Pelodiscus sinensis: one gene and its partners. The protein of the gene in region 3 purifies or fractionates together with the protein of the main gene of each other region. This does not show direct contact. Links are inferred from orthologs where the notes say so. Each region holds a gene or a part of one and is shown on either strand. Other genes may lie near its edges.

Region 1 (3,745 bases), on a different chromosome or scaffold from region 3:
AGAGAAAAAGTGAAAATGAGTAGAAATTCAAGTGAGATTGGATAGTCAAGCTTTCATTGCCCCAGCAAAGCAAAAAGTAAAATTTAAACAATGAATCGATGGTGAAAAGGAGATTTAGTTTTTCCAGTAGTTTTAACAAAGTAAGATGTTATGAGCAGCACAAGGGGAAAATGTGGTAAGGTTTCAATAATATAATCATTTTGTACTATATCCCTTTAATGTTTGTAAAGTTTTTTGACACCCCGGCTGTGTCTAGACTGGCCAGTTTTTCCGGAAAATCAGCCAGCTGTCTACACTGGCCGCTTGAAGTTCCGCAAAAGCACTGACTTCCTACTGTAAGAAATCAGTGCTTTTTGCGGAAATACTATGCTGCTCCTGTTCGGGCAAAAGTCCCTTTTGTGCAAAACTTTTGCTGAGATTCGTTTTGTGCAAAAAAGCCCCGATCGCAAAAATGGCAATCGGGGCTTTTTTGCGCAAAACCGCGTCTAGATTGGCATGGACGCTTTTCCGCAAAAAGTACTTTTGCGGAAAAGCGTCTGTGCCAATCTAGACGTGCTTTTCCGAAAATGCTTTTAACGGAAACCTTTTCCGTTAAAAGCATTTCCGGAAAATCATGCCAGTCTAGACGTAGTCCCTCTAGTTATATATAAGAACAGCCATATTGGGTCAGACCAAAGGTCCAGCTAGCCCAGTATCTTGTCTGCCAACAGTGGCCAATATCAAATGCCCCAGAGAGAAGGAACACAACATCCATTTCCAGACAAAAGTGATATGCAAAGCACAGCACAATTTTAGCTTACTTAGTGACTTCAACATACAATCTGCCTGCCTTCATTTTACTAACTGGTTATAGGAGTCCCAAACACCACAAAAATCAAGCCTCTAATTCCCAGCTATATAGCTGGGGCAGAACATGGCTATAATGTGCCTTCACCATCACGATTATTTGCAAAGAAATGAGACATGTGAAGAGGGAGGCTACTCCCAAGAGGCTACATGCTATGCAAACACGCCTCCCTCTGCCCACTGCTGAGTTCTTTCTTTCTGACTTTTACAACCAGGTGGGTGTGGCTGTATCTTTTACAAGCCCTCACACGCCTCGTTTCTCTGCAGCCCCGCGTGAACAAGGCCACAACGCTGGATACATACAAACACACAGGCTATGTCTACACTCACGGCTTCTTGCGCAAGTATGGTCATTCTTGCACAAGAATCTGCAGAACGACCACACTGCCCGCCCGCTCTTGTGCAAGGAAATGTACAGTACGGTGTGGGAAGAGAGGGCTCCTTGCGCAAGAGCTACGCTCTTTTTTAACAGGTGTAAGCCCTCTTGTGCAGGAGCTCTTGCGCAAGAGGGCAGTGTGGATGCTCGGCAGGGATTTCTTGCGCAAGAAAGCCCGATGGCTAAAATGGCCCTCAGAGCTTTCTCGCACGGCGCTCTTGCGCAAAAGCACAGCTCGCACATGGCAGTGTGGATGTTTTCTTGTGCAAGAGTTCTTGCACAAAAACCCTTGTGCAAGATGTTCTTGCGCAAGGAGCCGCCAGTGTAGACATAGACACAGTGTGAACGCTCCCCCCCGCACTCCTTTACGAAGCCACCAGAGAATCCCCACCCCTGCCAGCCTGCGGCCCCCATCACGCTCCTAAGGAGTTAAGGGTCTGTTTTGCAATCCCCCCCCCACACACACACGCACGCGCGCGCGGCCCCGTGCAGGGTAGGTCGACCTCCACTAGCACCCGTCAATCCGATTCATCAGACCCCGCAACGGACCCTCAAACGCCCCCCCTGCCCGCACGCGGCCTTGCGCGCCGCGGCCCCTCCCCCCCAGCCACAGAGCAGCTGCTGGAGTTTGAAATTCCCGCGCTGGCCCGGGTCCTCCCCGTCGCACGCTGCCGCAGCCCCGCACTCGGCGAACGGGGGAGGGGCGGCTGCGCGCGCGCGAGCGGCTCCCGGGGAACGTTCGGAACGCGGCCGGAGGGAACTGACACTCGGCGTTCCACCCGTGGAACCTTCGCACACAGCCGCTCGGCGGCCACGTGGGGCTGGCCCAGGCCTCGGCCCCCACCGGGGAAAGGGAGCCCGGGGCTCGGTCCCCCCCCTCCGCCGGCCGGAGCCCCGCTTGCACCCCCGAGGCGGGTGGGACGCAATCCCGAGTGTCTCACCTCCTTGCTGCTCCGCCACCCCGGCTGGCCCGCTCGCTGCTCTCGGCCCCCCACCCGCTGCACCGGAGCATGCGCGAGGGCCCCAGCGCCAGCCGGCAGCGAGCAGCGGTGATAGCGACCCCTGCTGGCCACTGCGCGGAAAGGCCGCAACGCGCCGCGGCGGGGGCTGTCAGCACGGGGCGGAGAAATCGGGGTGAATTGGGGTCAGAAGCGCGTAGCGCATCGTACATGCCAAAGGGCCTGAGCCGGCCAGCGCTCACCCCCCACCCCGACTGCAGCGGCGGGGGTCGTAAGCAATAGCCCTGGTGCTCCCCCCTCAGCGCTGCTGGCTCTGGCGCGGTGTGACCCCACTTCTGCACCTAGACCGGCTTGGTGCAGATGCAGTTGCAGCAGCGGGCGAATTCTGCGCACACGCTGAACTTTGCGCTCCAGTAGTTGAATTCCATGGATTCCACACACATGAAGTTAAGCACACGGGCAAGGGCTGACAGGATCCGGGCCAATACACCCAACCATGCTTGTATTGCAAATAACTCACATTGTTCAAAGGGATATAATTTAAGAATTAATGTTTGCTTGCCTGTTTTGTTACCACTTTGTATTTCAGTTTAGGTAATGACTCATCTTCTTTCTAAGCAATGTCATCTGCCCAACCCCAGTGGTGCAATCTGGAGAGCCCACACACTGAAAAGGATCATTTATTTTAAAAAATTGCTCCCAATGGAATTTTGAAACAGAATTTACACAACTACAAATGATGGGGGTAACTGCTCCCCAGGTGTTCTGTCACAGCCTTGCTCTCTCCACAGCAGGCATTACAATTGCCAGCAGAGCTCTCTTAAGACTGTAAAATATAGTGCTGCACCGATAGATTTTGTAAGGAGTGGAGTGATGCTTCCTGCTCAGAGTTCAAAACCACTAAGTCAAAATTGGCCATGAATCAATGTAGAATGAAATTCAATATTGCCAGCAATCAGAGAGGAGTGAGGTTCTGGAGCAGTCTTCTCCAGAAGTGGGTAAACAGCCTAACTAGTTTTAAACTAGCTCTTGATCCATGTAGGGATTATGAGAGGATGAGGCTTGAACTCCTTTCCAGTCCCATGTTCCTGAGTCAAAATTCCTAACCCTGCTGATTATTGTGACATTGGGCGAGTCATTTCTACACCTCACTTCCCCCTATCTTTGAAAACAAGGGAACTACCCACCAGTTTCACTGGAGTGTTGTGAGGATAAACTAACTCTGGTAAAATGCTCTGAGCCTTTTGAGAGAACAGCCCAAAGTCACATTAGTCCCACTTCAACAGAAACTCAGTATGTTCAAAACCGCAGCACAGAACACTGTGGCAAGTATTGTCCAAACAGGTGTCCAGGCAACATGACTCCAGAACCTATTACACACCTATCAGTGCAGAGATGAGTCATGCTTCACTTTGAGTGTGCTCACAGGTCTGTTCCAAAATGCCTTCCCTACGCAAAGAGAAGCCATTTCATGTTCTGGCTGCATTGCGAACATTGAAGCATCATGTTACAATCTTCACATTTTTGAAGCAATGTGATGAGGGCAACGTGTCAAACGTGTTAA
Region 2 (3,745 bases), on a different chromosome or scaffold from region 3:
AAATTGGTTAAAGGAATCAAATACACACAATAATTGCAAAGTTCTTGGTTCAGGCTTGTAGCAGTGATGGAATAAATTGCTAGCTTGAGTCAAGTCTCTAATTGCTTCCAATCATTGGAAGGGTCTCAATCCCTCAGCTAGAATGCTCCCATAAGTATAAATCCATAGGTCAGAACAGTGTTACCTCTCGGGCACACAGGTGGGCAGCCGCACAGGAGGAAATGAACTGCTGCACACAGGCATGGTTTTGGCTCCACTAATTAGGACCCTGGAGACAACATAGACAGTGCGCTGATGGTGAGGAAATGCAGGATGGATGAGGATCAATGGGGGATCAGAACTAAGTTTGGAGCATTCCGTCCCCAGCTGGGCTGTGTATAACAGCCAGGGAAAGATGCTCGCTGAAGCAGGCAAAGAACAGAGAGTCTGACTCAGTTTCAGTCCCAGCTTTACTGCCTGGGTGCTGGAGGTAGACACACTCCCAACTCCAACTGGGATGGGGTATCAGGCAGAAGAGAGTCTGACTCAGTTTAATTCAGCACCCCCTGCCTGGGTGGTTGCAAGAGACTTAAAGTTCCAGGTTAAGCTGCACAGAGAGGAAGGGGAGGAAGAAGTGAGTCCATTTGTTTTTGAGCCCCAGCTGGGCTGAGAGAAACTGAAATTCTCAGCATTAGCTGCACAGGGGCACCAGACAGAGAAGAATCCAACTCCATTACAGCCCCAGTTAGCTGAGCTGTGGGGCTGGAATGGGAGAAAGTCCAAGCTCCAGCTCTGCTGAAACAGCAGGCAGAAGGGAGCTGGATGCTGGGAGGGAAGAAACAATTTCTGGCCAGAGAATAACTCCAGTAATTGTGCTTCAGAGAGATAGCCGAGTTAGTCTGTAACTGAAATTTAAAAAACAAACAAACAAGAAATAGTCTTGCAGCATCTTAGGGTGTGTCTAGACTACAAGGTTTTGTCGACAAAAGTGGCCTTTTGTTGACAAAACTATACGTGCGTCTACACTACCGCCGAGTTCTATTGACATAACGTCAACAGAACTCGGCAGTTTTGTCAACGGCAGTAAACCTCATTCTACGAGGAATAATGCCTTTTGTCAACAGAGTCCTGTAGGCAGAAGGTGTTATTGCATCTACACTGTTCTTTGCATCTATACTCTCATGTCAACAAAGCAGCTTGCTTTGTTGACAGAACTGGATGTAGTCTAGATGCTCTTTGTCGACAGAAGCTGTCAACAAAGCCTCTGTCTACAAAAGCCTGTAGTCTAGACATACCCTTAGAGACTAACAAAACATGTAGATGGTATCATGAGCTTTCATGGGCACAACTGTGTGTGTGTTTTTTTTTAAAGGAATCCGAATAGTTCATCTCTTCTCCCCAAAGCAGTCTTTAAAATTAGCTTTCTTTAATACTCACAAAAGGGACAATGTCTTTCTGTCTAGGTTTTGCATTAAAAGGCAGTTTTAATCCATGTGTTAATGTGCTCCCTTTACTGAAGGGGCTTTTTAAATTGATGAGGGTTCTCTGTGTATACCAGGTCCTGAGACGCCACCTGCTGCCTCCATAACAAAGGCAGCAGCATGGGACAGCAGGAGTCCCTATGTGTGGAGGGCTGGCTTAAAAGCGGGCTCCTGATGAGTTGACTGCTGCCCTGCATGTAACTGCGGACATTTTTCAGTTACACAGTTCCTCTCGCACATTCAAAAATCTCTAGTAGCAACAATGATCAACATCATCAGATTTTAATCAGATAATGCAGATACATCTGTACCCTCACAATTATATGTTCCCTTGGTTGAGAACCACTGACCTGTATGGATGGGAGAACCCTCCTATGAGCACAGTTTATAATCTGCACCCTTAATATGTTAAATAGTTGCAGGAAGTCATAAAAAACAACAACAATATTTTTGTTGAGTGCGTGATTGTTAGAGACTTGACTAGACTCTAGCAGGCTTGAACATTTAAAATCCCAGGCTCACCTTTTGAAGGCATTGAGCAGGTTTCCTTTGAACCTAATGGTTACGGTAGCCTAAAATAAAGCATTCCAGAACTCCCTCTTTGAGCCTTCGAACAATCCCCCAACCTCATCACCACAAGCAATCTTTCAGACCAAATCACACCCATTCAAAGCAGCACTAGAACAAATATAACACACGCAGACATATGCCCGCCACCTGCGCAACATACATCTCAGGACCTGTAGGCCCTAGACCCGCCTCCCCCAACATGCTGCGTACCTCCTCAAGAGCATCAGACGCTTAGCAAGGACACAGGGGAAGCCACTCGCTCACTATGCTCCCAAACCAACTCCCCCGGGAGAACACTTCTCACCAAGCGGTGGCGTCACAGCTGACGTCTCAGCGCCTCAGTGCTCCCCCCGGCACGAGGCCAGCCAGGGTTACTGAGGGTCATACCCGCCCGAGCCCTGCAGAGACACTGGCTCTCGGAGCCCTTCTTCACCCCGCAGGCCAAGCCAGCGCTCCTTGCACGTAGCGGTGACAGAGCAAGTCCCCTTGGCTGAGCAGAGGCTGCTCCAATCACGCACCGCCAGGGGGCTGCCCCCTCTGCACGCGCCCCCGCCCCGCCATTTGCACGCGCCAGCCTGTTGGTGATGACGTCATTCTGTCGCCCAGAGGATTCTATTGTCATGAATGGTGTTATAGAGAGACGCAGCCCCGCCCCCTCCCCGCCGCTGCCGCCGCCGCCGCCGGGCGCTGGAAGCCAGAGCCCGCTCCTTCCCCCCGGGCCGGCTCCCTTCCCCGCCTCCGGTCTCCCAGGCGCGGGGAGCCGGTTGCCCCTCCCCGCAGGTGTTGGGAGCCCGTTCCTCAAGGACCCCCCTCCCCCCCATCCTTGCCGTTAACGGCTTCCCTCAGCGCTGGATGTCGCCCCTGCAGCGAGCCCGGGCAGGACAACGCCAAGGCACGGAGCCCGTCCCGTGCCGCCGCTGGGGCTGCCCGGCCCTTCATACCTGTGCTGCGCGCGGAGCGACCCAACGGGCGCGACGGCTGCCCAACGTCTCCGCCGCGGAACTGGACCCTCGCCTTAATTCAAACCTCAGCCCACGCGCCTCATTGGCCGAGCCCAGCCCGCCGGAAGCTGCTCATTGGCCAAGCCCAGCGTCCCCTCGGCCGCTCATTGGACATGGCGAGTTCTGTGCCTGCTGCTCACTGGCTGGCGGGAGCGTCTCCCCCTTGCTGCTCATTGGCTGGCAGGCGCGTTCCCTCCGAAGGCCGCGCTGCGGAGCCGTGGGGAGGGGAACGGGCTGTGTCCGCAGCGCCCCCTGGCGCGGGCGGGCGGGCGGCCAGGCGAGGCCAGTGTCCCGACAGACATTCCTATCACCAGCCCCCATTCGCCGCAGCCTTAGGGACCTCACGTGCTAGGACTGTGGTGTCAGCAGGCACTATGCAGCCTGCCACATTCCCGCCCACCTGGGCACATATATGTGCCAACCCTGCACAGCCTTGGTCATGGCTGGGCACTGCATAGCCATGCCATCGCCATGTAGCCTCCGTCATGGCTGGGCACTTGGTAGCTCTGCCAGCCCCCCCCCCCCCTTGCCTGGGCACTATGTGGCTGTGCCAGCCCTCCCTCACCTGGACATTACATGACTGTGCCAGCCCCCTCCCCCCATTTGGCTGGGCACTACGTAGCTGTGCCATTCCCACGTGGCTTTGGCCACCACCAGGTACTGCATGACCATGCCATTCCCGTGGTGCCCTCTGGGCACTGCATACCCTGCAGG
Region 3 (3,745 bases):
CACTATAAATGCGAATAGCCAAAAGCCATCAGTTCTTTATTCTCTCACCTGCCTGCCTCCCTTAAATGATCAGGGTATTTTTGTTTGTTTAAACTAGCAACAGCAGCTTTATTCATTCTAGGCCTGAACTCACAATTCTAATTTAGAATTTAATTCTTCTAAACTGCAGACCCAAACCCAAACTTAGTGTACATGTTCTCATGGCTTCCACACACACAGAAGCATTGCAACAAGATTCAGCAAAACCAACCAGCCTCAGACAGTTTAATCAGCTAAACCAAAGGATTCCTCAACATATCCCAATGTTTCAGTGGTGGGCTATGATTCATTAAACAGCTAGCCACAGAACTGGAATGAACATGAAACTATAAGCCCAATTGTTAACGACTCTGATTGCCAGAAGGTTTCACAAACCTTTAACATTAAATTATGTATCAAAAAGCTGCACAGCTTGCATTAATGCTGGTGAAGAGGAAATGTAGAAGGGTGGCTGAAAAATATTCAACTTTTACCTCCCATTCATCAGGGTGCATCTACACTGCCAGGCTTAACTCGAAATAAGCGACGCAAACTGACTTACATCAATTGCATATCTTATTTTGAAATTAGGAGCATCTACACAGTACTTATTTCAAAACAGAGCACCCTTCCTCTGACTTCCCTTACTCCTAGTACAATGAGGGTTACAGGATTCAGAGTAAAAAGTCCTCTAGCTTGACAGTATTTTGATATTATTTCAAAATAACTGCCTGCTGTGTAGATGCGGACCAAGTCATTTTGGAATAGCACTAGTTTATTTCGAAATAGTGTTGCAGTGTAGATGTATACTCAGTCAAGTCAGTGACAATCTTTACAGTAGCAAACAGGAATGCAATAATTCTCCCATATTTAATCACCCAAAAGAACCAGAGATTGCCTCAAGGATGAGTAGAGTAACAAGGCTAGGAATCAGGCCCTTACACCTTTTTTTAGTGTAATAGTTGTAACGTTGTACCTTAATTAGGCAAACATATGCTAACGGTAGAAAGTATTTTTAACTTTTCTGCACAATCCTCCCTTGAGTTTAATAGGTGTGTAGGATGCTAAGACATGCTACACACAACATGCTAATGGGAGTGTGCCATTTGTAGATTGAGTACCCTTTTCCCCTGGAACAAAGTAGCCCCCACCCTTTCCTTTCTCCCAGGGGTGGGGAACCTTTTTTTGGTCAAGGGCCGCACACAAGTGAGAAGAAAAAAAAACCTAACGAAAATCCACACCCCTCATTGATGTGCCCCCCCCAATGAGAAGAAAGTCACTCTCAACATTCTCCACACATAGCAGAGCCTTGGAAAGCCCAGGCTAGTAGAGTGTGTGTGTTCCAGCCCCACAGGGGCTGGAGCACCATTGCAGACTCCCCGATACTAGGGGGAGAGGGAGCCCTAAGCCTCAGTGGCCAGATCCAGGAAAGCTTGGGACTGAATCTGGCCCCAAGACATGAGGTTCCCCACCCCTGCCTGAAACCTATTCTAAATCTGTTCTAACTCCACCCAGGACAGTAGACAGGGGTCCCAACCCGGGTGACCCCTTCACCTTCTGGCTTCTTACCTCTGGGTCAGAGACGGGGGTGGGAAGGAGGGGAGAAGCGCCCCCTTCAGAAGAGAGCAGAGGGTTGCTTCAGGGGGAAAGGGGAGCGGGATCTGAACAGGGTGCAAGAACCAAGGGCCCAGCAATGAAAGGGGAACAGGATGCAAGAATCGAAGGCCCGGCCCGAGGGAACCAGATGGGCCTGGCCCAGTGGGGAAGGGGAAGGGGGAAGGCCTAGGGGGGCAGGCAGGGAAGGCCCAGCATGGGAGGCACGTGATGCAAGGGGGGGGGTGAAGGAGCAGGCTCCGCAAGGGGGGGAGCGGGGCCCTATGGCGCTGGAGGGCGCTAGGGGGTGTCCCAGCCCCCCCCCCGGCCCGCGCTCCCCACATGGCCCGCAGGCCCCAGCGCAGCACACGCAGCGCGGCGCAGCCTACCCTCCCCCTACCCCCGGCTCCGCGCTCCCATTGGCCCGCGCGGCTCGCGGGCGCGCCGCCATTGGCCGGCCGCCGCCCCGGCTGGGCGCTGGCAAGTTGGGCTGCGCCCTCGATGGCGGTTCGGCCTGCGCGGGGCAGGGCGGGGCGCTCCCTGCCCGCGAGGGGGGAGGGGTGGATGGGATATCGAGGGGGGGGGGACCCCGCTGCCGCCCGCCCGGCCCGCGGGCCGCTCACCAGGTTCTCGATCGCCGCCTGCTCCAGGAACTTCTGCGCCGCCTCCAGCTCCGAGCGGTCTGCGGGGAAGCGGGAGCCGGAGTCAGTCCCCGCCGTGGGGCCCCCCCCCCCCGCTCCGCCCCTCCCCCCCCGGCCCGGCCTCCCCTCAGCCTCCCCCCCCACGTGCCGGCCCTCACCCGGCGAGACCGTCTTCTCCAGGATGGTGATGAGCTCCATGGCGGCGGCGCGGGGCGGCTCCTGCGGCGCGGGGGGGCCCCCGGGGCGGGCGGCGGCTCCGGGCTGTGGCGGGCGCCGGCGGCGGAGGGAGAAAGGGCCGCGCGGCAAAAGGGGGGGGGGACGGGAGAGCGCGCGCGCGTGTGCGCGCGCACACACACACACACCGACGAGGCGGAGCGGGAAGGGAGGGGGGGAAGGAGGGAAAAGAGAAAAAGGAAGGGGCGGGCCCGAGCCAGCCGCGCGGGCGGAGGGAGAGGGCCAGAGCCGGGCTCGCGCCGCGGGCGCCGCACGCTCTCATTGGCTGGCGGCGGCCCTCACGCTCGGCGCTCATTGGGGGCCGGGGCGCGCGCGCGGCCATTGGCTGAGCCGGCGGAGCGGGCCGCCCATTGGCCGGGCTGGGCGAGGGCGGCCCAGGGAAGCGGATGGAGGGGCCGCAAGCAGAAGGTCCTGAGGGGGAGGGGCCCAGTAGGGCCAGGGGCCGTTGGGGGAGGGGGGCTGAGGAGGGACCAGTAGGGCCAGGGGCCGTTGGGGGGGGGGGCTGAGGAGGGGCCCAGTGGGGCCAGGGGCCGTTGGGGGAGGGGGGCTGAGGAGGGGCCCAGTGGGGCCAGGGGCCGTTGGGGGAGGGGGGCTGAGGAGGGTCCGGGGCTGCTGGGGGCCCCACTGGGCCTTACCTTCCTTGGCCCCACCCCCAAGGGCCGCTGGCCCACTGGGTCCTCAGCAGCCATTGTGGGGGGGCAAGAAGGGGCCGTTGGGGGGGGGGCCCAGAGGGACCAGGAGCTGCTAGGGGAGGAGGAGGGAGGTGGGACCCAGCAGGGCTGGAGGGGGGATGCGGCCAGGAGTCGCTGGGGAGGAGGGGGCAGAAGAGGGTGGACCCTGCCCTGAGGGGCAGAAGCTGCTGGGGGGGCCTGAGGGGGTGGGGCCTAGTAGGCCAGAGGGGCTCCTGGGGGATTAGCAGGGGGCCATCAGGAGCTGCTGGGTTCTAGAGGACTTCTGGGGGTTTGGCCATAGGGGCAAGGAGCTTCTGGGGCTCTGTCAGACTGGAGCCATAATAGAAGTTATGTAGGGCCTGGGGCTATAGGGAAGGACTTGAAGAGAGTGGGCCCTAGGCACTGGTGCTATACTGGAGGGGAATGACTGAAGCAACAGCACGCAGAGGAAGATGTAAGAAACTCATAATGGACAATTCTGGAATCCTCTGCCCACTGCAGCAGTGCCATCATAAGGTCAGGCAGCTAGTAGTTGGTTTTTGCTCTAATGCAAGAGAATTTCTAGCCCAGATGTAATGATCAGGCTAA

The links. Proteins that work in one complex are often made in the same cells at the same time.
Region 1: the proteins of KPNB1 (region 3) and RCC1 purify together in Homo sapiens (affinity purification with mass spectrometry; 3 studies listed by BioGRID and IntAct, counting the BioPlex papers as one, with this or other methods). This does not show direct contact. The link is inferred for Pelodiscus sinensis from reciprocal best matches to the Homo sapiens genes KPNB1 and RCC1.
Region 2: the proteins of KPNB1 (region 3) and DLGAP5 purify together in Homo sapiens (affinity purification with mass spectrometry; 4 studies listed by BioGRID and IntAct, with this or other methods). This does not show direct contact. The link is inferred for Pelodiscus sinensis from reciprocal best matches to the Homo sapiens genes KPNB1 and DLGAP5.

The regions. Positions count from the first base shown.
Region 1 is NC_134735.1:12,938,481-12,942,225, reverse strand, and holds the start of RCC1 (regulator of chromosome condensation), read right to left. Parts: upstream 2,321-3,745; 5' UTR 2,164-2,320; intron 1-2,163. UniProt on the Homo sapiens protein: Guanine-nucleotide releasing factor that promotes the exchange of Ran-bound GDP by GTP, and thereby plays an important role in RAN-mediated functions in nuclear import and mitosis.
Region 2 is NC_134714.1:9,372,478-9,376,222, forward strand, and holds the start of DLGAP5 (disks large-associated protein 5), read right to left. Parts: upstream 2,270-3,745; 5' UTR 2,255-2,269; coding exon 2,241-2,254; intron 269-2,240; coding exon 185-268; intron 1-184. UniProt on the Homo sapiens protein: Potential cell cycle regulator that may play a role in carcinogenesis of cancer cells. Mitotic phosphoprotein regulated by the ubiquitin-proteasome pathway.
Region 3 is NC_134739.1:13,276,438-13,280,182, reverse strand, and holds the start of KPNB1 (importin subunit beta-1), read right to left. Parts: upstream 2,613-3,745; 5' UTR 2,451-2,612; coding exon 2,411-2,450; intron 2,294-2,410; coding exon 2,235-2,293; intron 1-2,234.